3 linked regions of the Caenorhabditis elegans genome follow. The protein of the gene in region 3 interacts with the protein of the main gene of each other region in a pairwise test. Each region holds a gene or a part of one and is shown on either strand. Other genes may lie near its edges. The genes, in order: klf-2, pax-3 and nhr-66.

Region 1 (10,302 bases), on a different chromosome or scaffold from region 3:
GCTTGAGCTTCTGTGACCAGCGCCTCGGGCGCAATCAACAGTTGGATATGTCCTATGTTCCATGTTTTGACAGATTCGAATCGATGAAATCCTGCTTCTGGCATGACATGACCCGATATTACAAACGAGTTTAATTTTGATTGAAGTCAGAGTAGAAATTCACATTTAGCCGCTGCATATACCTCAATATTCATGTACCCTCCGATGTTTTCTCTCCAAAATCACTACCATTATACTGCTTTACTAAAAAAGTTTTCAAATTTTTTTTTGATTTTTCGTTTTCCCGGTATCCAAATGACATTTCAATGAATTTTTATCTTAACTTTTTACGAAAACACGGAAATTAAACAAATTTGTCAGATGATGTTCGTTACCATAACCAATAGTATACTTTGTTGATCTGTGAGCATACGATTGCACTCTGACACTGTGGTTCAGGGGTAAGCGGCAAACGATTTTTCCGGCAAACCGAAAACTTAGCAGAATTTAAATTTCCGACAAATCGGCAAGCCTGCAAGTTGCCGGAAAAACGGAAATTGCTGAAAACTTTCGGCAATTTCCGTTTTTGTAGTTTTTTTTTTTTGAAAATTTCAGAATTTCAATTTCAATCGACAAAATTGGGCGAATCTTATGAATATTCCTACATTCATTTTAAAAAGCAAGCAAATTTGAAAATATTAAATAAAACAGGGAAAAAATATTCAAAAAGGCACAGCTTGAACTCCGTATTTAAGAAACCTTCTAATAATTTTCGGCAAATCGGTAATTTGCCGAAAATGAAACTTTTTGGCTAATCCGGCAAACCGGCAAATTTGGCAGACTTCAAAAATGTGTACTTGCCGAATTTGCCGAGCTCGGCAAATGCTGATATACACAAATTAAAAATGTTGCTCAAAATTAATGGTGTTGATCAGAAACATAATGAAAGCAAACATATAACTTTTTGGCAATTTTTAAATTCCAAAAAATATTGCGATCTACCAACTATGATGACCACGGCAAATTTGGTAAATTTCTTTTCAATTTGGGTCAAAACATTTTTGATCTACTGATCTATAATCTTCAGGAACCCCATTTTCTACTCAACAAGACTTGCCTCCCGGGAAGAAACGCTCGTCGCATAGGGCATAGGGCGAATCGATAATTATTCCTCCCAGTTCGGCGCGCTCTGCGTTTCCGCAAAGGTTTTCTTTTCCCATTTTTTCTTATTTAATCATTATTTAATTATTCAAGAGATGTTATGATCACTTTGATAAGATAATACTTGTATTTCATCCAGCTCTACTATGTTTCTCAATTTCTGTTCATATGCAACCTTTAATTTATTCAAATATACTCTCCCACTCTCTCATTTACTCATTTAACTAATCATACTTTTTTTCAGAATTTCCATGTTGCGACGTAGCTCGAGGCACGCGGACCAAAGAAAGAATGGTGCACAGTTGAGAGCAGAGGAAGAAGCCAACAAGGTCAAATTGAGATTAACCGCGGAGAATGAAAAGTTGAAGAGTGAAGTGGAAAAGTTGAAGAAAGATCATGAAGAACTGTCAAGGGTTACCCTGAAAGTCAATACAGAATTCACTATTCAAGAATCACACATGGCACGATTACTGCGAGAAAACATGAGTTTGAAGGAGCAACTTAACGACTTTTCCTTCAAATTGCGATTCAGAGACGATATGTCTCGCGTCGAAGAACAAGTGAAAAAAGAGCAGGGAGTCACAGACGGGTATCGAAGGAGAGTGAACCAATTGACAGAATTTCATGTGAAGAGTCAGGAAGAGCAACGAGGAGAACCGTTCCCATGGAGAACCTGCGAAATTTGTGCTTGCAAGTTTGAGGGAGAAACTATGGATCAGACTCCGCGAGTTTTGGGTTAGTTTTAAATTATTTTTTTCTAAATTCAGTAGAAAACTGAAAATTTTCAGGCTGTGGTCACACGATGTGCATGGGATGTGTTCAAAAAATTGTCGGGCAAGGGTACATCAAATGCCCTTTCTGCCGGATTGTCACAAAAATTGGAACTACGCCACTCAATAATTTGCCAAAGAACTACATTGTTCTTAATATGTGAAAGGATTCAATCTACTGTTTATTCATAATTAAACGTATCATCTCACTCATAATGAAACGAAATCTTCAAATAAAAGTCATGAAATCCTTGAAATCATCCATTCCATCGTCTTGTTCATCCGTTTCATGCCGCTTCATATGTAACTGCAAATGATCACTTCTCGAAAATTTCCTGGAGCATTCTTTGCATGCAAACGGTTTGGCTCCAGTGTGCTTACGGTAATGGCGGGTTAGCTCGTCGGATCGTGCAAATCGCCAAGAGCATCCAGGCCATTCACATGGATACGGCTTTTCACCTAAATGAGAAGATTATTATCGAATAGGTAATACTTTGGCAAGCTGCTGACTAGGGAATGTTCAAAACTCCAAGTGGCCATTTGGTGTGAAACTAACATCATTTGAAAGCTGAGATTTTCAGCTTGAAAAATCTTAATTTCTGCTGCGGATATCAAAAGTTGTTGAAAATTTACGACCGGATCTGTATAAAACTGACTTTGGCTATCCGTTTCTCAAACCTCAAAATTAAAAAAAAGTGCTCAACTAACATAAAAGTTGAAAACTTTACATCTTACCGTTTTAGAAATAAAAAGCAAGCTAATTTCCCAAGAAGCAGTTGCAAATTTATAAATTTTTAGATTTTCGCAGCAAAAAAACATTTTAAAAAGCTTAGCTGACGATCTCAGTGTCAGATCAAATCGCGACTCTGAGTTTCGTCAATCACCAGATAAACCAAAATATAATAGATATTTCAGGCGTTCTTCCTGCAAGCAACTTTCGCATTTTCCACACTTTCCGAAGCATTAGGAATTGGGTAAGTTATTATTTTCCAATTTTCCCGCAACCCTCCTAATTCTTATATCCATAGGCCCACGCACTTAATTGACAGTTTATTGATACTTTACAACTCCTTATTCGATACTTCTAAAAGGGGGATGCCGCGAAGTACCGGACAAGGCCAAATATTGATATGGACTAACATAACATAGCAACAGTAGTTGATTCCTGTGCATTCGTTACAAAAAGTATCTAGTGATTGATGAGAAGCGTGTTTGTCAACGGAAGTATCCCGTTACACAGAACAATGTGCCGACGAGTGCGCGCTGTTCACGACATTGAAGAGGAGGATATGATTAATTATGTATAATGAGGTTCTGTAAGCTACTCACCACTATGAACACGCTCATGAGCTGTTAGATGGGAACTTTTTGTGTAGACCTTGCCGCAACCTGAAAATGAAATTCAAGCTTAAGCTAAACACGCTTGCAACTTACCTTGATAAAAACACTTATGAACTCTTAATCGATCCAAAGTAGCCTTATCCCTCCGTTTACTCGGCACCTTTTTTGGTTTTTCAGTGCTCTGCGGATGATATACTCTTCCACGATCTTTTAAAGGAATCCTGGGATCTTCCTCGTCTTTACCCGACAAATCGCTTGAAAATGAGTAACTGGATACAGACGCTGCAGGCGATGGAACGAATAACTTGGCTTCAAACGGATATGGTGTCGAGCTTCCCGAGTTTTGATGTTCCATTGGAGTCATCGAAGGTTCCATGTGATTGAGGTGAGTTTCGGAATTATTCTGTTGTGGAAAGTCATGGGAAAAATTGAAAGAACTGTGCGGGCCTTGTGGAATATTTTCTTCGAAAGTTTGTTGGACATGGTTATGATGATTGTAGTGCTGCTCGATGACCTCAAAAAATAGAAAATTGAATTTAAAAACTTCAATTAAATACAAAACCTGATTATTAACAGGTCCCGTATGAAAATGATAGTTGTGAACATTGATGACTGGAGCCGCAGCTGCTCCATTATAATGATGATGAGATTGTTGGTGATAATGCTGCTGATGATGTTGGTGATGGGCATTTTGGTATTGAGACTGATGATAGTAACCATTTGAACTAGACGGGACTATGCTAGAGTACATCTGGAAGGAGTTGTAGATGAATAACGATAAATTGAAAATCACCAAAAAAGAGTGAGACTCTGAAACGAATTTTCAAAAATTACATTGTAACAGAAGGTCAAATAAAAATTAGCATAGGCAAATACTAATTCATTTTGTGGTTAAAAAAAGATGTAATGCCTGAACCTAATTGTATGCATAGTTCTAAATTTGTAGTGAAAATCTTAACCATAAGCCAAAGTAAGGCAACTTCTACTAGTAGATAGTACAAATATTCCAACACTACAACAACACCATGTAATACCGTTGTGCATACACACACGCACAAATGTGACGTCTTCATTCTCGTTCAATACATTTCAAGTCATAAAAGTCTTGCGTTCTTCTTTGCCTACTGCTTACTTTTCGATATTTGTTGTGAATTTTCAAAGCGAAAGTTGTAGTTCTTGTGAATATGTTTTTACGTCATATCACAAGTGTATATACAAATAGGGGGAATTAGTAGCAAAATTTTTGGATCTTTTTGATATTTAGAGAATTCACACTCAAACCGAAATATTCAAGAGATAAGAAAGTTAAAGGTGGAGTAGCGCCTGTGAGAATTTTGTCTCACTTATATTAAACCAAAGCGACAAAATATCATGATGCAACACTCCTAAAAATTTTAGGTTTCTCATAATTCCAGGTCAAAGTTTTGGCACATTGCCAAAATATTGAAAAATATGAGCCTTTGAGGAAATTCAATGCAGTGTCGCATGTTCCGACCCCTATAATTTTTTAAAACAAATAATTAAAACAAAATGAAAATATAAAAAATGCAAGAAATTTTTTTCCGACTTCTAAAATTATGAGTGGCAAAGAATGAGCACTTGTCAGTTTTTGACAGTAAATAGAAAAATTTCAAAATTTTTTTGAAAGTTTTATTTTGATATTCGGTCATTTTTGACACCATAGGAGTTGTTTTTAGCATTTTCCCCAATGGCGCTGCTCCATTTTTAAGAACTTTCAAGTTCGAAATTCTGGGAACTAACTACTAACTATAAGGCTCTAACTCTCAATGCACTGAACACGTAGGAACTAACTCACTAAAAACAAAATACCTATGTACTCACCACAAAGAACAAAACAATGTTAATGCTAGATTACAATACGTGCCTTCATTAGTAGAGCATCTATCGTGAAACTAAAGAAAAATGACTAATGTTTCCACAAAAATAAACATCCTAAGCGAATATACACACCTCTTCTGGTCTACAAAAAAGTGAGCTCCCCAGGCTCCAAAAAAGGGGTGTGGTGACACCAGACCGGTCACTCCTATGATAACAAACAGAAAACTTGAGCAAACTTTTCTTTCCCCCCAAGAATAGAAAATACAGAAAACTTGAGCATGTGTAGATGGTGGTCATGATATGTTTGATCTAAAGATTACGACACTTTTGGGCATTTCGAAAAAAAATAAACATGTCAAGAAGACGATGGTCAAGCTAGAAGAAAATTATCCAAGAAGGCGCACATATGCCCTGCAAGTGCCATTTTATGATAGCATGTCAAAACTGATAGGCATGGGCAAACAGTAACCAAAAAACGGGGAGGTTTGTTGTTTCTCTGAGAAAGGGGTGGCAGAAAGGTGTGTGCGCGGAAAATGTGTGGAGGGGAGATGGGTGTCATTAATAGAAGAAGGAAGGGAGTTTTTTGGGAAAAGGACATGTGATAAATAATTTTGTTTTCAAAGTTCAGAAATTTTATAGAAAGAACACAAGGCTTTGTAGTGCTCCAAAGTTATGCCGGTTTTGATCAATAGTACAGTACATCACGGGTGGGTGGCAAACGATTTTTCCGGCAAATGGGCAAATTGCCGGCAAATCAGAAATTCTATTTCTATGAAAATTCTATGAAAATTTCAAAAAAAAAAACGGAAAAAAATTCAAAAAGGCACAGTTTTAAGTGTTTCCGTCTTATAAAAAAAATCCCTCTAAACATTTTTGGCAAATCTGATATCCATCAAATTGGCAAACCGGCAACTTGCCGAAAATGAAAATTCCGACAAATAGGCAAACCGGCATTTTGCCTATTTGCCGGATTTGCGGACAGTCAAGTCACAACCAAGATTTGGTTTTAAATCTGAAAATGACGTGCGGGACTAAAAACAGAAGGGAAATGTAGACGCTAGATTGAAAAAAAAAACTATACATATCCACAAACAGTATCACTTACAGTACTCTAAAATGATACCCCAATGCTGTGTTTATCCAAACGTCCCCCCCCTCCCACCTCCAATTTTAGTACCCTCTTCCCTACCGCCTCGCCTTGCTACAGTCGGGAAGTTATGATTTTACGGGTGCGAACAATCCAGTAAGTGGGTGCGGAAGAGGAGGAAGCAGTGATTACTGTTAAAAGTGCCGACTAGGTATGTAAACGTACTTGAGAATATTGTTTGGACGGGCGGTCTCCTTTTTTTCAACTGCGGCGGGACCATATCAGTTTTATGATTGATTAATGTTTGATATATTGAGATAATGGAAAGGTGTGTTCGACTGGTAAAACTCGCAGTATGGTTTTAACTGAGGCAACTCCAGCAACCTAATTCTTTGTAAAAATTGTAACCGTCAGGATTTTGAGTTTTGACAAAAAAAACTAATAAAAATATTAGAAGATCTCGAAGAGAATTCAGATGTGAGTAAACAAGTATGTACATATGTTCTGAAATATATTTATATATACACATATATATTTACATAGACATACAAATTTAGTGGCAATGTATCTTTTTGTCTGACACTCTACATTTTTGCGTGTTTAAAAGTGCAAGATGAGTCGTAAACAATTTTCATTCGATTTTTGGAATCTGGTTTTTAAAATTGAACAGCAAGTAATAGATCGTAAAAGCAACACAAACCAATAAGGACGTTGCAAATTGACCGGAGATTTCTGAAATTTGTTTTTTTTAAATTTAAATTGTTGATGTACTTACTTGCAATAATATGTCACCAGGACCATAATCAAATTTCCAGTAGTCCCAATTACAAAAACTGTACAATAAATAACGAAAAGGATAATTAGAAGAGGTTCCATTTTTTGAGACAACGGAAGTGAGAAAATACAATAACTACAATCTATTATATAGGTATTTTTTATATCCTCTATAATTTGTATTATGAAAATAGGTGAATTCTAAGAATCCCTTAAAAAATATATATAATAACTTTAGTATAATAGTCGTTAAAAATATTTCTAGTTTTCGCAGATAAGTACATAAAAAACAAGACTATCTAAGAATAATCAAAAATCTTTTCCAGAATTATCTTGTTTCTAGATATGATAATCTATTACATATAATAGGACCTCATTAGTCAGCTTATCTTGAAAACGATACAATATACAAAATAACTCCCAACACAATCGTAATTCTGACCTTCTTGGTTGCATTTTTCGCGCTCCATTGACAATCGCCTGCCGGAGATGACGCGTGTAAAAGTCGAGTACTCTAAAGGGACAAAAAAAAATTCAGTTTTACAACAAAAACCAATCCGCGACGCGGCACTCAACGCTCCGTAAATCTACCCAAGATGCGGCCGAGCCAAAATGGCCTAGTTCGGCAAACTCTAACATTTCAATTTATGATGGAAGCCAGACCCGCGTGGAAGATGCAATCAAAATTGACAAAAAGATCTCGTACCATACTTTCAAAAATTATTTTAGAATGCTGGTACATTTCGGAAGTTTAATGATTCTTGACGTGGACAAGAAAATATTTCAACATGAACATTTTTTTGGCCTAACCTTCACAATATTGCAATACTACAGAAAATTACATTTATTTGTACAGGATCACACAAAAATCAATAGTAAGCAAAGTATACAACGATGTGATTGAGGTAAGAAAAATATATTTAAAAAATTCTTTAATGCAAATCCTAGATATGAAGTTCTTGTTGAATCGTGTTCAACGCGTTTGTATTAGTAGATGGTCTCTGAATACTTGATCTCTGTGCATCTGTAGCTTGTTGATAAGTGGTTCCTTTTGCTATGGATATTTCATTCGAGAGACCAAGCATTGTGCGCATTGCTGAACGGTAGTCTCGACTGAAAGAATGTTTTGGGCTAGAATTAAAAAATTTCAAATTACCTCAATTTGTAATACACCACGGCATTAAATGCGCTCGACGTGAATATAAACGTTCCGCAGTACAACTGAATCATTCTTGCCACGTCCTTATCCATTGGCAGTGTTACCGTAAGCGCACCAATCAAGTCAGTCGTCATCCAACCACATACAACAAGGCATACAGTGACCATTAATGATTTGAAGACTGCTTTCATTGAGCTATCTAAATTTAAGCGTAGAATTTCCTCAACTTCTCGTTGGTTAATTACTCATTCTCATATTTTTGATCTTAAAATACACATATGCGTAGATGGGCGGTACAAAAAGATTTATGACAAACGAGGTGAGAGCAAACATATCATAGGCATGACCCAATGATTCCGGGAGTAGGCAAACGACATTTCTAAAAAGTAGCTTGATTGCCGGAATTTAAGTAAAACTGCTTACCTTTTTGGGTCCCGTTGCCCAAATCCCATGATTAACAACGCAGAGGAGTATATGATTGGAAACGCCAATAAAATGAAGAAGTACTTGTAGCGTTCGTGTTCTAGCATTTTGTATCTGAAGTAGTGTAAGATTACTGTACACATAGAGAGAACAAGTGAGAATTTTGAATTATCATAAGTTTTGCCCAGTGGGTAAATTTGTTAACTCGCTACCAACTGACTTTTAACTGACTCTTAGATCAGCAGATGGAACGTACCATTCTTCAACCTAGGGCTCTCATGGGGCCGCCGCAACGGCGGCCGCGCCGGCCTCACGGCATCACTCACGCCGCATGTATCCAAATGTATAGTGCGGCGCGGAACCCCAAACGTGTCGGCCGCTTCCAAATAACTACCTTTTGAACTTCATTGCACACAGCGGCGCGACTTCGGCGTGAGGTTTCGCGCCTCACCCAGCAGGGAGCCCCCACTACTTTTTTTAAAAGTTTCCGCCATTACTTTTTTAAATGCAAGAATTTGCGTTAGTGTTTTGTATACCTTGTAGGAGCAGCTACCGCAATGAGCCTATCAATTCCAACAGCTAAGACACATGCATTAGACGCGAATGCTCCAAAATCCGCCGGGATATTGATGTAGAAGCAGAACTCTGGATAATTTACTTTTCAAATTCATTATCAAAGATAATTGACTCACCTTGCGTTATTGGTATAAACATAGACACCACAAAAGCTATGATGTCGGTGAAAAGCAGAAGATCACAAAAGCAGCAGACACAGATTAGCATATTGCAAATGGATCTTAGATTTCTGGAAAAAACCTCAATATGTGCTCGAACGTGCTTAAGATTTGCAACTCACTTGCTATGTAGCGTTACCAAAACCATCAGCAAATTTCCTGTGAAACCGACCACAAAAATTGTTGAGTAAATAAACAGAAGAATGATAAGAAGAAGCTCCATTTTCCTATAATACAATTCGGTACTGGAGGTTACTAGAAAAAAAAATGAAAAAGTGCGAAATCGGATTTCAATTTACAGTTTTTGATAAGGCAGATCGCAAAAATTCACAGTAAGGAGAAACTTTTTCTTTATTTTCAAAAAAAAAATTGTGACTGGCAGCTGAAATGAATAATAATGTCACAAGTATCATGACTATACGTCAACAAAGAACGTGGGAACTTTGTCTGTCTTTGATATCTTTCGATCACGTACTAAAAATTCTAACCAGACATCTAATTATCACAATGGTAAAGTTGTGGGCCCAATGGTCAGTTAGAGGACTTTTCCTGGCGCAGAATATATATACTTTGTCGTTGTTTTTCTTTATTACAAAACGTGTTGTTCTAGTTTTTTCTTTATGTCTTCTTTGAAAATGCTGTCAACTTTGAAAATCCAGAAAAAAATTGAAGAAAAACTGAAACAAAGCTGAAAGTTGGCTGATTTAAAACAGCTGAAATCCATTAAAAACTCAAAAAATGCCACGTGTCACGCAATGGTTAAGAATGAATTAGTTCTTGGAACATGTTTTTTTGATTTTTTGTTAAAAAATCCACACCGTGTTATGCACACAACAACAAACTTGGCGTCTCGATTTCTGTTAACTGCGAATTTTAAAAATTTATAAGTAATAAGTGATATAAAAAGAACGTATCGATCTGAAAATATTACTTATTTTCAAATCAAAAATTTTTGAAGAATAAACTCCAAACAAGTTATAATCTGGTATATTTGAGCTGTGAAGTAGTAAAAATGACATTTTCAAACAAAATTTA
Region 2 (10,302 bases), on a different chromosome or scaffold from region 3:
TATACAGACTTTCGAAATGTGGAACTAATATTTTTCATCTGCCATTTTTTTCATCCGTTGAAAATCGAAAGGGCAAATGTTCCAGGCGTAATTAAAATAACAAACATTTTCAATAGCATGCGACGTCAAAAGTTGAAGTAACTATTGCAACTAGAATATATTTGATACCAGGGAGGCTCTAATGAATAATGAGCATGCTGAAATGCCTTTCTGAAAGGCTTCCGGACTCGCCTGCCTCGAGACTGAAAATTATTTGAGTTCCGCATACGTTCTATTTCAAAAATTCAAAATCAGACCCCCGCCTATCAAGCATTTTCCCTCAAAATCCGGAAATCAATGAGTCAATTGTAAGGTATCTAACAGAGAAAGACTACGGCCTGCCAGTCGAGTCGCCCAATTACTATATATAATGTTGCGCCACAGTGGGTGGTCTCAGTCATGTCGTAGGCCTCTCGCATAGACACACTTCTCTAAAAATAATCGATAAAGATCGGGAGAGACCCTATTGCGGGTGGGGGAGGGGGGGTGTCTCTTCTAATTTATAGACTTGACACCTTTGTGTACTTGAGAAAGAGATATCATGTGGTGGAATGGACCCTATTAATTTGTTTTTATCGTTCCATTTTTTGACGGATCACTCCATCATCACCGTCGTTTCTCACATCCAAGTTTTATGAGCTGTGCGCTAATCGGTTTCTGTCACAGGAGTATTTTATAGTGACGGAAGGAAGGAAGGTAAGGTTATTTCTATACAATGTTCTAATTTGAAGAATGTCGATTTCAAGGATGCTCAACTTGATCTTTTATCTCATTAATATTTTTCATCCGTTCTTGTCAAATCAAAGCAGATTTCTACCGCACTTAGTCCTCTTTCTGGTAATAGTCTGCAGAAAACTTTAGCTACTTGCCGAGTAGAGTAAGATTTTCAAAAATGAATTCTCCCTTAAGCATACTGTAGTTTTTAACGATATCGTTCTATAATTCCCAATGCTCATTAAGAACGGCGCGGGGGAGTGCTATAATATATTCCCATTGAGCAATGTATTCTGAGCGTATTCCAGGAAGAAGAAACTTTTGTTTCCATTTCTTTTTTCACCTGGAACTTTATCACTCCAGTCTCTGATACCTAAATATCAGTCGTTGCGTTGTGTTTTCAACGGCTACCTATTTTTGGAAAATATTAATTTTTGTTACTTATGAATGTAATAGAAATATAGACATGTGGAAAATCATGGAAGTATTCTGACAAATTCGGGAAATTTCTGAAAAATCACGTTACCGCACCGCCGAGTTCAAACTTTGGTTCAAGGTTTGTGGTGGAGAGAGGGTAACTCGGACTCGGTAAAAACTTGATAATAAACAAGCTCACAATGATCTGTCATGCCTGCCTGCCTTCCAGGCAAGCTGACCAACACCTACTAACGATCTTGCGCAACATACCGTAACCCACATCCCTAACAATCATATTGTCAAATGTCAAATGTCAAAGTTTTAATGTGTTAAATTGCGGATATGTATTATGTTCGTATGCATGTGTTTGCTTTTTTTCGCGCATCCCAATCTTCTCTCGCGCCAGTCACTCGTGTGCCCATCCTGATCAATTGGCCGCGAAAATATGGAATTTATTGGATCGTTTTCTCCTCCTCCTACCTACCTATTTGAATAGGCACCTATCAAGTGCGCAAATCTTCTCCCCCTATCTTAATTGCTACGTGTATGCGAAAATGTGCGAAGTTGAGCGGTGGTTCACAATTTAAGGAATGACAAGATTGACGACAAGTTAGGAAGCGGGAAAAAACGGGACAGGAAGAGAGGGGAAGTGTTGAAAGTTTTGGAAGACAAGAAGTTGAAACAGCAGGAGGTAGTGGCATGACCCCTAGAAATTCAAGTAACTTGCAAAAACATAAGTTTGTGGCTGTCTAGTTTCTTATAAAAAGTAGGCTAAAAGTTTTGGAAGTTTTAAAAACCAAAAATTTCACTTTTATTCGTTCTATATAAACAGTCTCAAAGCTGTTGTTAAACTTGAATTTTCAGACAAAGATTTAATGAAACTGTTTGGAGTGCCGAACATGATAAAAATGCCTGCCTGCGTGCCTACAAGGTAGGCGTATGATGCCTGGAATTTGACATGCTCTTTCTTTAGATTACGATTTTCTTGCACAACTACCGTACCCTACCGAATGTGATTAACAACTGAGCACAGATCAAACAAGATTTTAGGATCAAAAGTGCCTGCTTACCGGACATCAAGGCGACCTACCTATAGGCTTCACAATGCAACATCAGACCCTAGACTTCACACCAAGATGTAGACGAATAGGCAGTAGGCAAGCTAACAGGTAGGCCTGAAGACACGCGGGACATTCCGGTACGCTTGTTGCAGATCAGGAGAAACAAAATGCGGTACACTACCGTAACCCGTAATTCAATCAGTCATGGTTCTCTCCCTGAAGATCTCCGTGGCGGCGCACAGCATGCAACTCACAAACAAATACGATGGTCTTGTTGATTAAAATCAACCCCTGACGCGTGCCCCCTTGTCTAATTCACATCATTCTTCACCGACGCTTCTTGTCCTTTCCGCCCCCACTTCTTCAACGTCTTCGCCTTTATCGTCTTATCACACCGTTAACATACACAGCGACATACAGGCGATACTAATCAAAGTGTTAATGACCGTTATTATATCAAAGAAGTCCAATATACAGTATGCCCTCTGGCCCCTTTGGGAATATTGGGAGGAATGAAAACTTTCATGCTACGTCTGTTTGTGTGTTACTATATGGCAGAAGAAAATTGAATTGAAAGAACGGAATGTTGCCTGATTGAACAGGAAATCCGACACCCAAAAAAGGTGTTGGAGGACATGAGACAAACGGAACGAAATTATAAATGTGTGAAATCAAGACTATTCCAATTAGACCACTTACCAATTGAAATTCCCAGAATGCTGTCGATACTGTAGCTCAGCCGTTTTCGTTCCATTTTCTTCGGAACCCCGACGCCTGCAAAAAAGTATGTGGTGATTTGTGTGAAGATAAATATTGATAAGGAAATTAAAACAAAAAAAAGTGATAAGGAAGATATGATGAAAAAGTGCAGCAAAAAAGATGATATGATTGGCGTGAAGAAATGATTGATGAGGTTATAGAAAGTGATAATTTGATCGAATATGTCTAGAAGTTCTTCTTGTGAGGTTTGTTGAATTTTTGTGGAAAATCACGCATCAAAAAATGACGCCCAAGCAAGTTTCCATGAAAGTATTCGAAACAAAAAAAATCGTTGTCAACAGTTAAACAAACACAACCACAGCTATCAGAAGCGGAACATTCATCAAACGAAACGAATTTCTGTTTGTTTTTCATCTATTCCTCTACCTTTTTTTTGCCTTCACAGTTTTCATCATTATTATACCTTTATTCCCAATAAGCCTTTTTATCGCAGGTACTGTTGGAGCATTTCCTTTTGTGCAAATGTCTTTGTGAATAAGCCAATCTCGGAGCTCTGCAGCGCTCATTTGTGGATTCTCATCACATGCGATCAGAATTTCTTTCTCGACGGCTTGGACTGTAAGTCGAGCGCGGGGACTTCCACCGATCTGAAATTAATTCATAGATATTTATGTTTAAAAAGCATTTGCTTTCGCTAGGCTTATGTAAGAAATATGACGAATATTTTCGGCAAATCTACAAAACTGCCCAATCCCAGATTATAACTCTTTTTTTTATTAAATTAAATGTAGAAATATAGATAGAAAAATATTTGATCAGTTTGAAAATATCAGTTATTTGCATTGAAATAGTCGAGAAAAATTTCAAAAACTGTTTCAAAGTTGTCATTTGCCGAAAACGTTTTGATATCAGTTCTTGGAAAGTTTCAGGTTGTTTTTGAGATGATTTTAAAGTTTATAAATGAATAAAAATTGTTTTGTATATTTGCACTCCCCGTTCTACACTCTTTGCCGTTTTGCAACCAACAAAATGGAATTTTCAAGAATTCAAAGTTTACTTTTTTTGGAATTGTAATTACCGTATGTTTTTGGTAACCAAAAACCTAGTAGACAACAACTACTTTAACAGAAACACAGACATCCGACGCATTTTTTGAAAAATGCCGAAAAGTGCCACCCGGGGCGTCGCACCTGCGCGACCCGCCAAAATTGAGTATTACGGTACTTTTTTGAATCAGGACGACGACACGCGGCACGTGTAGGCAAACATTAAATTTTATGGTTATGATTCGCCTGCCTGATGACCTAATTAGCAAATTATCTTATCATCCAGAAAATGCACTGACCTGTCCCGGAGATATTGAGCCCGTCTCGGCGTAACGATTCAAGATTTTCGAAACAGCTCCATGAGATACTTTGAGTTGACGACTGATGTGACATGGTCTAAAAGATTATTGTTAGTGTTCTCTAGAAGTTCGGACTACTTACTTTATACCCTTTTTGGCCATTGAAATGATAGCATGACGAACGTGAATTGGAAGGGGTCGACCGTTGATGAAAACTCCACCGAGTTGGTTAACACGACCCTGAATTAATTTTGGGCTTCAATAGAGGCGGTGAGAAAGGAGAAGAAATTGAGACTTGGAAAACTCAAAACATATTTTCAAAAACTTTTCAAATGCTATGAAAATCTAACTTAAGGCTAACTATAGTAATGATACTATCTAATTTTTGTGATGCTTGATGAGCTCTATTAACAATAAATCAAAAGTTTCTATAGGCTACAACTTCAAACTGTATAATTAACAAGAGCTTAATTTTAGCTCCTTAAAACGTCTGAGCCAGTATAGAAATAATTCGAAATTAACGTACATTCTAGAACCATCTAGAATTTCCAAAAATTTCTTCAATCAAATTTTTCCGGGATACATCTCCTACTTCTAGACATTAAAAAATACCTGAGCAGTAGTTTATGCACTACAACTAGAAAACAACTTATCGAAACCATAGACTTACCTGCCCAAGAATGTGATTAAATGTGATAGAATCTGTGGTCATTTTGTTAGTAGTGGATGGGATATCAGGAGCACGTATGGCTGGCCCCCAATATACCGAATGTGTGAATATCAGGTATATAGCGTGAAAACTTAAGGAGCGAGTAGTTTCGAGGTGACACGCCTTGTCGAACTGTGAATGGGCGGGACGGCGATCCCGCCCACCTATGCGCATGCGCGGTCTGTTACAGGCATGCATAGTCTCGAGTACGGTAATCGAAACCAGCGAGACATAGAGAAGGGCGAAAGACACGGGCGGTAAGCATCAAAGGACGTACTAGTAGATGTTGGCGCGGGGTATGTGGGTTTGTTATCAGAGATATTCTGACTAGGAGGTGGATTTTTGGAGATGAAGATTTATGTGCTCGATGGTTTTGATTTGAAAGGTCAATGTTTGGTAGTAGCACCTGCAAAATGGTGATTCACCTGTGGATAGTCTCGAAGAAAAGGACATCTAGGAGCGTGCGGATCTTGCAGATTCAAAATATTTGCAGATAGCTACATAGATCTAAGCAGTCCACCGTGCTTCTGGGTGAAGCTAGAAGTAACTCTAACATGAAACTGGAACCAGAAACGAATACTTCAAAACTTTAAAAATCGTTCATGTCCATTAAAAGCTTAAACAGCGTTAGAATTATTCATGCTACTAATATTTGAAAACAGCTTCTTAATGGATTTCAGACAAAGTTTACTTTCTTTGTTTGCTTTTTCGATTATGTGATTTGTTGGACTTACCTAACACAAAAATAATTTTCTGATTACCAAAAACATACATATTCCAAAAGTTGCAATTTCACGGAAACAAGAACAGATAGAACAAACAGACAACTTTCGAGAGTAGTGTAACTTGTTGGCAATGACCAATTTCCCCATTTTCATTTCCAGTGTTCAAAAGTGTAAACATATTTTACAAACAAAAGAGGTCAGGAGGAAAAGTGCTTCGAGGATACGGTACAAATATTTCCAATGAGAAATTTAAAGATATGACTTTGCAAAGATCGACTACATTCTTGCCTACCAGCCTACGGGTAGGTTAATTTGAAATCTGAAAAAACTAACATATATATGTATCTGTAATTTGAGACCAGTGTTAGTTGTAAGTTTGGAAAAATAGTTGTCACCTCTATTCATTCAGATTTTCAAGTATTTCTATAACTATTCTTTTTTCAGTATCCCTTTACTCTGTCTTATCTGATTATTCAATTTCAGACGTTCTTTTAGACCTATCTGTTTTGTGTCGGCCCGACTTAAGAACCTACTTGTCTTATCTCGATCTACAATGTGCAAAACAAGTTCATCCGCGAACTGTCAATCAATAAATTGCTCGCAATTAGCGAGTCGGTGTTTGGGAGGGCTCGTGTTGGGAAAGTTTATGTCATTGAGATGAATAATGGTATTTTTAGTTGTTTACCGACGGTGTCTAAAGATATAAATCTATTCTAAACTACACAATTGGAGAATTATTTGTGAGTTTCAGTTAGAAACAAAACGTGAAAATATGTGAAATAATGTGAAATAATCCTAGTCATTAATCCTTTATTACCCCATACAAATAGCCTTTTAATACCGAAAACACCTGAAAACTACACGTGCATTACCCAATCAACAAGTAGGGCCCAATTTCTTTTTCGGCACGTGTCACATCATCATTTCCTTCTTCATCTTCCCGGATTGCGCAAGGTTGTCTTACACCATTTTCCTGATAATCTGGGACCATGTTATCAGGGGGACGAAGAAACGGTGGCGGTATCGTTTGAAGTGGTATGCGGTCATAATTAAGGGCCACGCGCCGATGTCAACTTTTGGGGGTCTTCACACCTTTGTAACACTTGGATATATCTTTATCTATCTATCCGGAGAAGTGTGAGATGATGATGATGCGGGGTTTTCCGCTATCTGAAAAGGGCATCATCTATGGAGAATTGATGGGCTGAGTGCGGGAGTTTGTTGACAAAATGTGAAAAGAGTTTGTCCCAGCCACCGTGTTACAGTGTCTCATTAAACTCTACAATACTTATGTCATTATTGTAATTTCTCAAATAGATGATACAACACTTTAAAGGCACACACTGTTTGAAATGAAACATTAGAAAATATACTAACTTCAAATTAAAAATATGAAATTCTTGAAAATTTAGCTTATTGACAGCTGTCTCCATTTATTGTTCGAAGTTCTGGATTCTTATTATTTGTATTTCATCATAAGACTACAGTAATCCAAACACCTTTCAGCTCGATTTCGACCGGTCTCCTTCTCAAGTTCTGCAAAAAATCTTAATTGACTATGATAGGTTGGGCAGCAGAGAAAGATTGAAATAGAACATCAATATTTCCCACCACATTCAATTTTTTTTTAGCATCCCATCACTAGAAAAATGATAGGGACGCCTTCAATTTATCAACACCCTTTAATTAGCAAATTAACGACTGACACATCATCGACAAAGGAAAATGAAATTGAGACTCGATAGTGTCGACAAAAAGAAGACGGTTAGCAGTGTGTTTTATAAGTGACAAGATAATATCCCCGCATGTCACATCGAACACCTTTAAGGAAGAGAGAGTACAACCACTTCCGACAAGTGGCAGATTGCTGCGGATTAGGAAATATACTGTTGCCTGCTCCCACCCGACAAAAGAGCCGAGGTAATCTTAGGCCATGTGGTGGGCATTGGTTGTAATTAGCCGGAAGACGGCAGGTCTGGAAGGATTTCAGTCTTTTCAGACCTGTGCGTGTCGAGACAAGAACCAGATGGTGAAACGGAAGCGGGAAGGTGGGAAAATTCACAGAGAAATTGTGTATTATTAGGAGGGGTGGGTTGCTCAAAACTTATGCCACCAAATCAGAGGTGCGCGGCAATTGTTCTATGCAAACATTAATTTATAGATCAAAAAACCTAAAAATTATAAAAATAAGTTAATAATTTTTACGGATGAAAAAAAAATACATGGAAATTTTATTTAAACACGTGACAATCATTCCCCCTTTTTTCAAAATATCTTGCTCTGATTAAAATTAAATTTCCACGTTGACAACTCCATCGAAATTTATTTTGGATTTCAATTCCATATCAGTTGCGAATGAAAGATGAGCGGTAAATATTCGGGTAAGTGTTCAGATGAAGGATCAGAGAAAAAAATGTTTCTCGGTCCATTTTTAGTTCCTGAGGTTCCTGATGGACGCAATCGACTGCGTTTTCAAACTCTATATTATCATTTTCAGATAGTAGATTCTTCTTCGCCCACTATGGATGTTGTGTTCCAACCGAATCCTACGCCTGGATCCTCGTCGTCATGTTCATCACTACCGTCCTTGTGCTTCTTTTCTGTATGCTCGCCACAGCTGTCATTCGATGGGTATACAAATATCTGATTACCACCATCTCATTCTTTATTTCAGATGTACAAACGAAGAATGCGCAAGCGGCTTCATGACCTGAAACGGAAGTTTGTGACGGATCAGTTACAAGCTCAAGAGTTTGATGCAAAACTCAATTATATGGCTCAAAACAATAGAAGAGGTGAGTTTGAAATTACACGTGGAATGAAAAGTTTTGAAATGAAAAGTTTTGAATAATCTTCCAGTTAAAAGTCACGCCAAATGTTTGATTTTTAACAAGACATTTTTACAGGTGGCAGAAACGAGGAACCCTTTGCCAAAGAAAACGGTAATGAGAAGTTCACCATTTTTGTGGATCCCGCTCAAAACTGTGCTGCTCAACATTTGCAAAACTCTGGAAAGGACAAGAAGAAAATCAGGTACTCAAAATTGTCAACTCATAATTTATGAATGTATCAAATTACAGTAATTCTCTCGGGCAGAAGGTCGCAACTCCAGCAATGGACAAAGTAAGTACATCGCTCGAAACGATGTTATACAATTTAATTACGTTCCAGCCGATTTACGACGCAGATGATACACCGATTGCGCAGAGTTCATTGGCAAGTCAATCGGATTGTAAGTGTATAGGGAAAAGTTCAATGTGTTAGCGGTGACGATTGTGCAAATTTTCCAGCATTCCCTTTTCTCTTAAAAAACTTTATTTCGGAATTTTATCCTAGATTTGCTGGACAGTCCCTTTGATCCTTTCTTATCTAGATCTAGAAATAGGCAAAACAAGTTCATCGGCGAACTGTCACTATCGCGGGCTCATCTAAAGGATGGCGGCTAGCAATTAGCAAGTCGGTGTCGTGGTAGTAGGAACCAGCAGTTTTGGTTGTAACTGGAGGAACGATGATTGATTGATTTGTTTTTTTATTAGCGAGTCATCGAAAATAGTTAATGTCCAAAAACTTTCCCTTTGAGTTGCTGAAATTGTCTGAAAATCTAGCTTATATTCATCGGAGTTTAACTGCGAAATTTCTGTAGCCAAAAAAATTGCTATGCTTCGTGTGGCTTGAAAACTTCACACATTACTTATAATTTTTTACATTATTCTTTTCAGTGAAGAAACATGATTCTCGTTTCGCGTATCTTCCGAAGAATCAAAGGCCAAGACAGGTGTCCGATGATGAAACCCAAAAGCTCACCCCAATCTTTCTTCCTCAGCCATATAAGCCTTCTTCTCAGCAAGGACCACCACCAATGCTCACCAGACAGCCTTTTCATGCTCAGAAAACTTCTCCACCGAAAAAACCACTTGAAGAGTCTCCAGAGAAGAAAAAGATGAAAGATGATCTGGCACCACCAGCTGCAATAAGTTTTTCCAAGCTGTCTCCATCTACTGTGACAACATCTGGACCATCAACTGTTGATACTACTGGTTCTTCTGGTAATTCAACGGATCCGACCACAAGATCAAACACTTCAAATGTACCATCTGGAACTTCCGAAGCCTCAATCACCAACCCAATCCTTCATTCTCCTCCATCAAAGTTTGATAATATTCCGTCTCCACCAAAAGCATTTTCCGATGATCTTCGAAAATCCCCAGATGATGATGTGAAACAAAATCCACAATATGGCATGGATATCGTTAGTCCCGTTCAATTGGTTAAATCGTCTGATAAAGGATCTGATGGTCAGAAAGAAGAAAGAAAAGATGGAGCAGGTGGACGTGGAGAATGGAAATATTACTATGCAAGTGGATCAGATGGGAAGATCGGAAAAGCTTTGAGCACAACTACTAAGTCTTCCACGTAAGTTTTGTTGTTAAGTTATTAGATCTTTCTAGATTTCTAGATCTAAAATTTTTGTCTTTTCAGCAGTCACCGTCGTTCTACTCGTTCTTGGCTCTTTGATTCAACCGGCTCAAATCGTCTTGAAGCCGCTATCGTTGGATCCGCTCCAAAAACCAA
Region 3 (10,302 bases):
GTTCTCACTACAACCTCAAGTGACTGTCTTTCTCGCCCTGTTATAATACCCCCTTCCCTGTCTCTTTTTTCTTTCAGTATTCCTCGTTTATAGAATTCAAAACATTTCTAATTTTTGCGACCTCAACTTTGACAGCTTATGTTTCAGTTTTGGGGTTACCTATACAAAAATCTAAACTGACAATCTATTTGTTATTTCTTTTTCATTCGATTCGCAGTTGATTACTTATTGATATCTCTAAAATTAACTGAAATTTAACTTTCTAAAATGAAGTAGTACAATACTATCGAAGGAAATACTGTATACACAAGAACAAACTGAAAATTCTATAAGTTCACTTCATCTCGAAACAAACTACATGATTCATGAAATCAAAAGCCTAACCACGAGAAAGTGATTTGATTTTCTTGCAGATTTTTGATTCACGACAAATGATTTGAAGGGCCACTTGTTTTAATGAACAATCACAAGATGATGTGACCTTTTATGTGTCGTTGTGTCTAGTATCATTTTATCAGTTTTGCCTGTGTTGAATTTCTAAAACAAACAGTTGAAGGTACAACAAAAAAGAGATTTTTAAGTTTAAAATGTAAAAGTTGAAATTTAAAATCCAAATAAATTTCTAACAGAAAATTTGGAAAAAAGCTTAAATCAAAAAATGTCTGTGAATACAATTGCTCTCATAATTAATTAATTCGGTATTTTGCTCTAGATTCATACTCATCTTCAAATTGGCTATTTTGCTTTTCATTTACTCTTTCTTTTCAATTTTAAATTAAAAACCCGATTCGATAAATCTCCGCATTCTGACCTTGTTTCGTTGTGTGCCCTTTTACGGTTCTGCATAGATACTTTTATTGTAAATTTCCTATCGTTCAGAATCGATTATAATTTCTATCAGTAATTTGTTAAGGATTTTGTTAATTATTTATGTTTATTTATCCTTCTGGTTGGTCAAAAAGGATTTTAATGTTAAAACGTTGCGTTAACATAAGCAACATATCGCAAATTGATTTTCAATAGTTTTCTCTTATCTCAAATGATATTGAAGCTTTTTAAATCTTAAGATAAATTAATGATACAAATATTATCAAAAGTCCAAATTTTTCACACGTCATGAAAATGTTTTTTGTAAGAAATATTTATCGTTGTCCTCTTTCAAGCTATGAGATGACGAACAAGTTTGTGGCCAAGTTTTCCACTGCTCATCTAAAAAATCAAATAACTTTCAAAAAGTATATATTTTATCTTATATGTTAATAAATATCATTAATTTTCTTTTCAACTTTTCAAATGATAAAACTTTCTCCAAAACCGACTCATAAAATAACTCCGTTACCCAATAAAATGTACCGAGTGTCCAGGTCCACCAAAAAGATCCTATTTTTCGGGTATCTTATCTATGTTATTATTCCATCTTTTCCGATTTTATAATAAGGTGAAAACAGTCAATATAATAAAGAAATAGGGTATATTCATAATTACATCCTATTATTTCTTCAAACTTTTCATCCTTATTTTCTTATCATTCATTTGATCTATATGTATTACCGCCCATCTATCTAGGCTTCACCTCATGAAATAATATTCTTGTTTCTTTAACTGCACTTATACAATCATATACACACATACGCCCATACAGTTATCGTGTTTTGTAGCAGTTTCGACGTATTGAATGAGAGATAGTCAAATATTGAGCATGTTGTAGTTTGTACACAGCTTTTCATCACAGACATCAACTTTCTCAAGTTTGCAAACAAAAACAATAAGTTTAAAATGTAAATAAGAAAACTACATTCAATTTCCAAGAAGCTCCGCCTATTTTGCTGCACTCGTTCTATTGGACAAACTTGATACACAGACTCCGAATAAATCTTTCTATCTTCTTTGTCAAACGAAAGTTTATACTTTGAAGGTAGTTTTTTTTAATATTTCAACCTAGATATCTTCTCGGCATTTTTCTAGTCTTTGGCTTTTATGGGGTACTTCTCTGCAGGCTCCAGGCGTGGGACTCTAATTTTTGGTAATTATGAAGTGTAGATTTACTAGGTCTTGCACGCGGATTAATTTTTACCATATACGTTTTACTGCAAAATTAGGCTGTTGTGTTTTTAAAGCTTCCCGAATGTGACCGAATGGGAAAAATTACATGTAATCTCTACATATAGTTTCAAATTGAAAGCAAACCGGTTAGAATATGCACTCAACGTAGGTACGACTTTGCAATCATGTCTAGTTTCTAGGCAACCTTACGTACCTACTTTCAATGTACATACATAAACATTTTTCATTCTTTCTCAACAAGAGATGGGTAAATCTTAAGCTTTCCACTTGGTTAAAAATAATTAAGACACACCGTTGGGAAAAAATGATTTGAAAAACCCCTTTAAGAATCTTCTTTTTAGAATAATTTGTTTATTTTTTTAATGTTCTAGCCTAAAAACTAAACATACTTTCAATCTGATCTACTTTAGAATTAATTTTTTTGAGTGTACATTAGTAGATTAGACTGGTCTCTAGAATATTTTCTATAACAATTTTTTTAAACACTTTCTCTTGTAATTTTCTTTTCGGTTTTTTTCAACGATTCGAAGATGTTCGATCGGTTGTCCGAATTCCGTGTTGATTGTTGTCTAGTCTTAGAATATCCTTCCCGCCTTTCAATCCATATCTCATTCATCTGTCTTGTATGGTTCAATATTTCAAACATGGAACCTCTGATTCTTACATCGCCCGATTTGAAGAGATTTTTAATACTCAAAAATTCAAGATTTTATGTTTTTACGAATCCTTCTGAATCACTTTCTTAAAACCGTACAATTGACATTGTCTTTTGTTTTTTCTCGTTTGGTTTTCTTGATTCGTCATGATTCGTTTCAAATACAAAACCGTCTCTTGCTTGCTACCAACCGTTTGTCCCATTTTTGTTTTTTATGATGAAAGCGAATTTTATACAGTATGATGCCTCTTTTTTCGAATATTGTAGGAAATTTTGTTGGATACTTGAATTGATTTTTAATAGAAAGTTTTCAATTGTTCATGTTCAAATCAATTATAAACAAAAGGCTTGGACCAAAGATAACTACTTCCTATGTTTTAAATTGAAACCAATAATCAAAATGAAGGCGATAATTGATTTTTTATTTTTATTTTCCGGATTTCGAGCGAGACTCAACTCTCAAACTCAAACTCGCGTCATTAAGATAAACGAGCATCTACACTTTTGGTTGCAAAAACTGCAAAAAAATTTTTTTTTAAACTATTTCCCAATTGATAATGCTTTCAAGTACATTTAAATGAACGTCTTCAAATATCAGCAAGCAAATTACAGTAACATTTCAATTCATGTTTATTTAGTTATACCAGAAAAAGTGCACCTGCCATTTACGCACTGTTTTATGGATTGAATCCATGACTTCTAGGCAGGTAGGCATGAAGTCCGAAATCTTGCTGCTGACTTGAATGAATCCCTAAACGAAAGCTGTCAAATACTTGAAAGAACACATTTGTATTCTTTTTTAATGTGCTTCTCGGAAAATTTTGATTTTTAAATGTTTTCTGCTACACTACGAAAATTTTCATAATATTCGCTAAATTTGCACGTGTTCAGTGAGCCTAACAACGCGACATGTCTACAAATATCTAGACACGAATGTATTTCTAACATTTGAATTTTTCAACTTCTTATGAGAGAAAGTCTTATGAGAAAAATCAAACGATGAACAGCTGAAGCATAACAGAAAATAAAAACATTTTTTCATTTCGACTATAGTTATAATTATTTACCCACAATGCCTGATTTCTCGAATTTTCATATTTTTTGTTCTTCTCTAAAATCTCTAACAATAGCCAAAATGTAGTCTGTTTTAAAGTTATTATGCGAGAAGCTGTGCACATATCCCATCTCGAGCCCCTTTTGTATGCACACTGCTGAGCATCAGAACGGACGGTATGCTGCACATCCCTCGTGACTGCGTATAATATCCACCCGATTTTTGTGTGATTAGCTGCAGAATATCGTATATCGAGGCGCGTTTTCCATTTGTGGCGATAATGCACATTTTTACTGTTGAATTCTCTTTTGAGGCTCCATAAACCACAAATAATGCGACGATCGTGTATTACAAATGTTCGACAACTGTGATTTCTCTGATTTCATCTTACTGTAGAAATAATTTCAAACTTCGCGCACAAATGGATTTCACCAGAGCGCACTTGCTGTATTCTTCGGTAGCAAATTTTTTCCAGCGAAAAGCATTTCGAAAAGCCTGTAAGCTTTCGTGAAATGAGATAATTTTTCGTGAAAAACGTTTCTACAATTTTTATCAATTTATTTATTTCAACATCTTCAAAAACATGTTACGTTCTTAAAAAAATACCTTTTAAAATTTACTATTAGCGAAAAATTGCTGAAAATTTTTGTTTTCTAAGATTATTTTTGTCCCGATGGTGTCGTCGTCACAACATCTCATACATATATACAGATAAAGAATAAAAGCGAATCCATTAGATTGGCGCATTTGATTTCTCGTTCAATCCGTCCTTTTTCTGCTGATCTTTCACGTGTCTCCTGCCGGCGGCCCCGCCCATTTTCTCATACTTTCAATTTTCAAGGTCCTTTTGTCAGTTCAGTATTCTAATTTTCCTCGTTCCTCGATGGCCTTCCGGTTACCTTGCTCTTGTTACAAAGCTCTCGCGAGCAAACTTCAGCCCGCCTCTTTTTTGAGAACTCGACTTGTGCTCGCCTGCTCTCTGTTGAGCTCAATTTATTCATTATTCTGATCGCAATTTTGTTTCGAATTAATAAAATTAGAAACGTCAACTATTTTCAGATTTCTTTCAGACATCTTCTATGGAATGCCGCCAATCAATGAGCCCACAGCGACGACAACATCAGCATCGTCGGTGTGGCAAGGAATGACACAGGTTTGCATAAAAATTGAATTTTATAAAGTTTAATATCAAATTTCCTATTAATATTAAATAGAATTCTATAAAATTTTATGCTTACAATAAAAAAATTGATTTTTTAAATTGTATCGTAGTCTCTGGCACAACGCAGGTAAATCGTTGCGAGACCAAGCCTTCCTTTGAACCATTTTCTTCAACAAATTGTTTCTTTTTTGTGGTTCCCTGCGCGCACAAATTGTATTTTTTTTAGTCGAAAAACTTGTTTCTTTGAAGAATTCATGAAATTTAATAATTAATTCAATAAAATATTTTATTTTCAGTTAAAATCTCAAGTCGACTTGATCAATATCGCTCGAGGAATTCTCTCAACCCCCGCAACAACATCAACATCATGTCTTGACATCCAGAATTCGACACCGATCATCGGTTCGTTGGCCTCCGGGAAATCCCAGACGCCAATTCTCACAGCGACAATGACTCCACAAATCGGTACGGTAGATTGTTATTGTCAATCAAGAAAAATGGGGGAGAAATGCGCGGGAGAAATTGAGTCGTAGTTCGCGTAAACAATTGTTGTTTTCTCTGAAATATTAATCAATCATGCTCGTTTTAAGGACTCACTGGGCTTGGTTCGTTGACATCGTTGCCTCCAGAACTTCTACTACAGTTCGCTAGACTGGACGGATTCAACTTATTACCGTGAGTTTTTTTTTCTTTTGAAAATTCAAAATTTTGCCGAAAATAGGCAGTTTTTTGTATGGAAAAAAAATTGCAATTGGAATTCAAAAAGAAATAATCAAAAAGTTGAACCTTCCGAATTAAATTTGAATTTTGATCTTTCATTATTATCTTCGCTCAAAGTCTTGTGCTTTGATCCATATCTTTCCTCCTGCTCTGTGACTTTGTACTTTTCATCTGTCTGATTTCTGCTTGACAACGCTGGAGTGTCTGATAAATCTAATCAAGCTGAGCAGCGCTATTTTCTTAAAAAATGTGATGTTACATACAGAAGAGACATAGAGTACATTGCTAATTCATAAGTTTAGAATAAAGAAACTCAAAATCAAAGAACAAAGTCAAATAATCCTTCATAATTTTAGTTGGTTGCCCTTGTCATTGGGAGCAGACTTCTCATATATATATATAAATGTGCATGCGCGACAACGGAAATGCAAGTAAAAGAGCATTGAAACAAAGATCCGTTGTATGTTGCATGACACATGAGTAGTGGAGAGTGTGGGAGAAAGGTGCAGAGTACAGCTGACTGGCATGCTCCTGTCGTTGAAATGTGTAGAAATGAAGGGATTTCTGTGCTGCAACGTTCCAGAGATACTTGTTGTAAGAAAGCTTCATTGTAATCATCTTTTCTCGACTAGACTGAAGTTTATATGTGCACCTGAAGCAGCTCTATTTTACAATTTGCAACTCACTTTTCTATGATTTCTAAATTAGTCGATGTGATTTTTCAATTATAAGATCAACGGGAACAAGTGGTGCAACATTATATTCAAGTTTTAACGGATTTATATAGCAACTTAATCAAGCTATTATATAAAAAGTCGAACACCAAATTGTTAGGTCTTCCGTCCATCGTTTAAAGCCCGAAGTCCTTCATCCATCCCCAATTGTCCGTTCCGCCTGACCATCGAAACAGCTTTGCAGCGCTCAATGACAGCAGATGCGCTTCAAAACAAACCGATAATAGGAGGAAAATTGAAGGGGTCAGAAATAACCCGCCTTGGTAGATCGGCTCCGTTTATAATTCCTTCCAAGCTAGCCGGCTCTCCGTTATTACTTCTTTGCCTCTTCCGTATATCCGAAACAGGTGGAAACTCTCGTCTCATTACCAACTCGTCGACTTTCTCTTTACTAAAGCTTTCCTCCTCTGACCCATCTTGTGCTTAACTGCATAATTTGAAATTCCCAGACTGCATGAGAACTTTTGCGTTGATGAGTCTCGTCTCTTTTTCTGCAAGGAAAAAAACCACAGAGAACCACACACAACGAGAAAGTTCAAAGGCTCAATGTATCATTTTACGTATTTCTCCTTTCTTTTCTTTCGCTAGCGCACACTTCAACATCCAAAAGCGCCACGTGTTTGTGTTTCGGGAAAACAGAAAACTGTGTGCTATAGCAAACTCAATACCCCATCACCGGAAACTTTCCGGTTTATCATCGCTTTTTGCGGTTTTTCTTTCGTGCGCCTGCCTGCTTGCAAAATACCACAAACTCATGTGTTATCGGTGTTGGCCTACAACATTTTCTATCATCATTTCGATGTTTATATAAAGATTTTTTCAAAAAGAAATGCATAGATCAGGATCGTGTTGATTCCAAAATGGAACTAGCAGGCTTTTGTCGTACTTTAGAACCTGGCTTATTGCCAAAATATTTCTATTCAAGTTGACAGCCGTTTGCTTTCGATTATTGTTCCGATGATCCCCATTTCGCCCTATTAAATGTTCAACATCTATTTGACAAACTCTAAAGACTACAAACTACGGGCATCTAGAATAAAGACGTTATCACTTGTTCTATTGTCCAGAAACTGTCATGTGAATATCTTATAAATCTCGTTGATCTTCAGTGGAAAAGCTGAATGAGACTAGTGTGTTAGAATATTGAAGTGATCTACATTAGATTGTTAAAATCTGCTGAAAGCCTACAATTACACATTTCAAAGCAGTTGAAATTAATTTCGCCAGTTTTATTTTGAATGGTGTTCATCGTGTAATCATTCGGATCGTTAGATCAAAACGATCAATTTCAGCGAATAGTCATGATAAAATGGTGACTTAGAGTTATCAGTTTGTGTTTATACTATAAACAACCGTTTGTGCATACGCAAAAATCGACTTTCGACTGTTTTAACTTCTTGTACAAAGATCGGGTTCACGAGGTGGCCAACCGTTTGTATTTTTTCGTAGAAATGACCTACAAACTAATAAGTATTCACGGACTCTTCTTCACTCCTGTGCGTAGTGTCCTTAGAGTGTTTGTCAATCCCTCGGTTTCCACCTTGTCCGCCTGACAGATCACTGGTGAGGGAAAGTGGCAGAGGGCAGTCGGAGAACAAGATAAAAGACGATGAAAAGAAAAAGAAAATTTCACCCATTTCGGTGTTCCTTTTCTTCTTCAATTTTTCCGAATGTTCCTTTATATTGATTCAAACAGCAAGAATTTCACGTGTTTAAGGAAAATGATAGTCAGCTTTTCCATAACCCAAACAGGTGTTAATCAATAAGATTCCCAAGCATTTATAGAGTTTTAATAAATTCTACATGCAAAAATTCGGACGGACGGCGGAGAAAATTCCCTACCTACCAATTTTCGTACTTATAGGATCACTGCTACGATTACGTTATTTTTACGTTTGCAAAACTTTATTTTGATGATACACCGGGTGATTATGTTTTGGTTTGAATAGATGAGGCTTAAGTGTGTTTTGAAACTAGACATTAGTTTCTGAAAAACACATCAGGTGGCAAAAAGTGCTTGGTACTTTACTTCAGTTCTGCCTGGCACCGATTTCAACCTTTGCACGATGTATAAAAGAAGAAGCCTTCTGTCCAAAAGTTCACCTTCCTACTTCCTTGCAAACATTTTCGCAATTTGCATTTGAATCGCCCCAGTCCTTCCTCGCGATTCGACCTCATTTACGCTAAAGATAGAATCATACATGACGGAAAGCCACGAGGCGCGCTTTTTCCAAGAGAAATCGAGAATGAAACAAATAAACGACAATGATGGTGTTGTTGCTAGGCACCTACACTACTTTCTCAACGTGTTTGTCCTCTGGCAACTTTTCTGCATAAAGTCTTCCTGTTGTCCACTTCCAAAAGAGATGGAGAAAAGTGTAAGAGAACGAGAAAGAGAGAGAGAGAGAAACACATGAGTGTGTCGCCACCACAAGACGACGTTGAAGCGAGTACGTGTGATGCTGGTAATGCCTGTGTCTCCATTTCCCTCTTCACGTATGCTTCATTTCCATCATCACGAAATTCAACAACGCCTCGAATTTCATAGATCCTCCAGTTTCTTCCGTTTCCTAGCTGTTTTCCGTTAATTTTATACCACCCAGTGCGGTGGTTTCTTGTTCATTTCATCCTTATTTGACTTGCTTCTTCTTCTTCTTCTTGATCTATGAAGTCATAAAACCGTAGTAAGATTGTGTATAACGATTAGGTGTCCTCTCTTCCATTCATTCAGTTTTTCCCGACAACGTCACCCACTCTCCAAAATGGATGTCCGCATTGTTGATGGAAGAAAGAAGACAAGTTTTTGATGCAAAAACTGACCATTTCTTGTTGTTTTTCTCTCATTTACAATGCTTCATCTTTTAATCATTTTAAAAAACTGTGTTTTCATTCAATAATTTTATCAATGATCTTATCGGTCAAAGATTTGTTTGCAAAAGTTTGTATTGAAATGTTTTTCTCTTTTTTGCAAGTTTTTTCGAATAAAAACCTCGATTCAAGTAGATTTTCATTTAGCAATTCTATAGTTATTGGAAGTTTTCTTTGATCTTGAATTCTTTTTTATATCAATTACAATTTTTCTATATGAAATCACAACTTTTCAAAAAGTTTAATAGTACTGAAAAAATCAATTTATGACTTCTAGTAACCGTAACTCGATTTGCGAAATATTCCATATTAAATAATTACCGTAATTTTTGTTTTTTTAGAGCGGTGGGCTCACCGGCGATCCCATCATCGTCATCGTGCTCCGAGCCGTCAACATCACAAGCATCTACAGTAGTTTCAGCTCCAACTCTTCCACCACCATCACCATTAACATCGCTGCCACAAAAGCCCGCCCCTTTGATGCCATCAGGTCATGTCACAACTGTAGATCAACAGAATCGACAGCAGCATCAGCAGCAGCAGAGGCAACAACAACAGGCTCAGCAACAAAATTCGATGGCTCGAAAATATTCAATGGATACGATACAGCATCACACAATGCAGCATCCACATCAGTTGCAATATATTCCAAATCGTGAGTTTTTTTTATTTGCAAACTATTTAAAATGAGAACCTTTTCAAAAAAAGTAAACTTTTTTTGGAAAATGATTCCGGTGGTGATGATGAAGATTTTTATCTATTTATAAAAACATTTTTTGAGCTCATGATTAAATCGAAATCCATATTTGGATCATATCTAATAACTTTCAATGAAGTATCTGACATAATTATTCCCTATAGAAACAAAAAGTGTATGCCTTCCTACCGACCGAGTACCTATTGCAAAATGCACACGTTACCATTTTTGAATTTCTTATTTGAATTTTCAACAAAATATCTGAGAATATCAAAAACCAAAAATTTATACCATAGTAAAACAAATAGGCAGGTACGTAGGCAGGTAGGCATTATGCAATCTCGAACA

Evidence for each region.
Region 1: the proteins of nhr-66 (region 3) and klf-2 interact in a two-hybrid assay, tested with the Caenorhabditis elegans proteins (one large-scale study listed by BioGRID).
Region 2: the proteins of nhr-66 (region 3) and pax-3 interact in a two-hybrid assay, tested with the Caenorhabditis elegans proteins (one large-scale study listed by BioGRID).

What each region holds. Positions count from the first base shown.
Region 1 is NC_003283.11:20,680,608-20,690,909, reverse strand, and holds klf-2 (Kruppel-like factor 2), read right to left. Parts: upstream 5,228-10,302; 5' UTR 5,212-5,227; intron 5,181-5,211; 5' UTR 5,094-5,180; intron 4,003-5,093; coding exon 3,814-4,002; intron 3,766-3,813; coding exon 3,345-3,765; intron 3,300-3,344; coding exon 3,240-3,299; intron 2,370-3,239; coding exon 2,140-2,369; 3' UTR 2,080-2,139; downstream 1-2,079. Other genes in the region: dbd-17 (DB domain-containing protein), read left to right, coding at 1-134; F53F8.3 (RING-type domain-containing protein), read left to right, coding at 1,392-1,875, 1,929-2,074; srsx-35 (G-protein coupled receptors family 1 profile domain-containing protein), read right to left, coding at 7,896-8,064, 8,108-8,309, 8,356-8,489, 8,534-8,647, 9,070-9,178, 9,226-9,338, 9,390-9,490. UniProt on the Caenorhabditis elegans protein: Probable transcription factor which regulates lipid metabolism.
Region 2 is NC_003280.10:10,141,554-10,151,855, reverse strand, and holds the start of pax-3 (Paired box protein 3 homolog), read right to left. Parts: upstream 5,287-10,302; 5' UTR 5,009-5,286; coding exon 4,967-5,008; intron 4,537-4,966; coding exon 4,439-4,536; intron 4,394-4,438; coding exon 4,297-4,393; intron 3,599-4,296; coding exon 3,415-3,598; intron 3,006-3,414; coding exon 2,931-3,005; intron 1-2,930. Other genes in the region: F27E5.3 (uncharacterized protein), read left to right, coding at 7,664-7,778, 8,228-8,361, 8,405-8,525, 8,637-8,763, 8,811-8,853, 8,902-8,962, 9,450-10,143, 10,210-10,302. UniProt on the Caenorhabditis elegans protein: Transcriptional activator. Regulates the lateral/ventral epidermal cell fate decision.
Region 3 is NC_003282.8:8,231,133-8,241,434, reverse strand, and holds the start of nhr-66 (Nuclear hormone receptor family member nhr-66), read left to right. Parts: upstream 1-4,852; 5' UTR 4,853-4,857; coding exon 4,858-4,926; intron 4,927-5,231; coding exon 5,232-5,400; intron 5,401-5,525; coding exon 5,526-5,610; intron 5,611-6,420; exon of another isoform or gene 6,421-9,598; coding exon 9,599-9,912; exon of another isoform or gene 9,913-10,302. UniProt on the Caenorhabditis elegans protein: Transcription factor. Binds to regulatory elements and regulates transcription of target genes, including the potassium channel accessory subunit mps-2. Negatively regulates transcription of mps-2, thereby modulating age-dependent memory decline.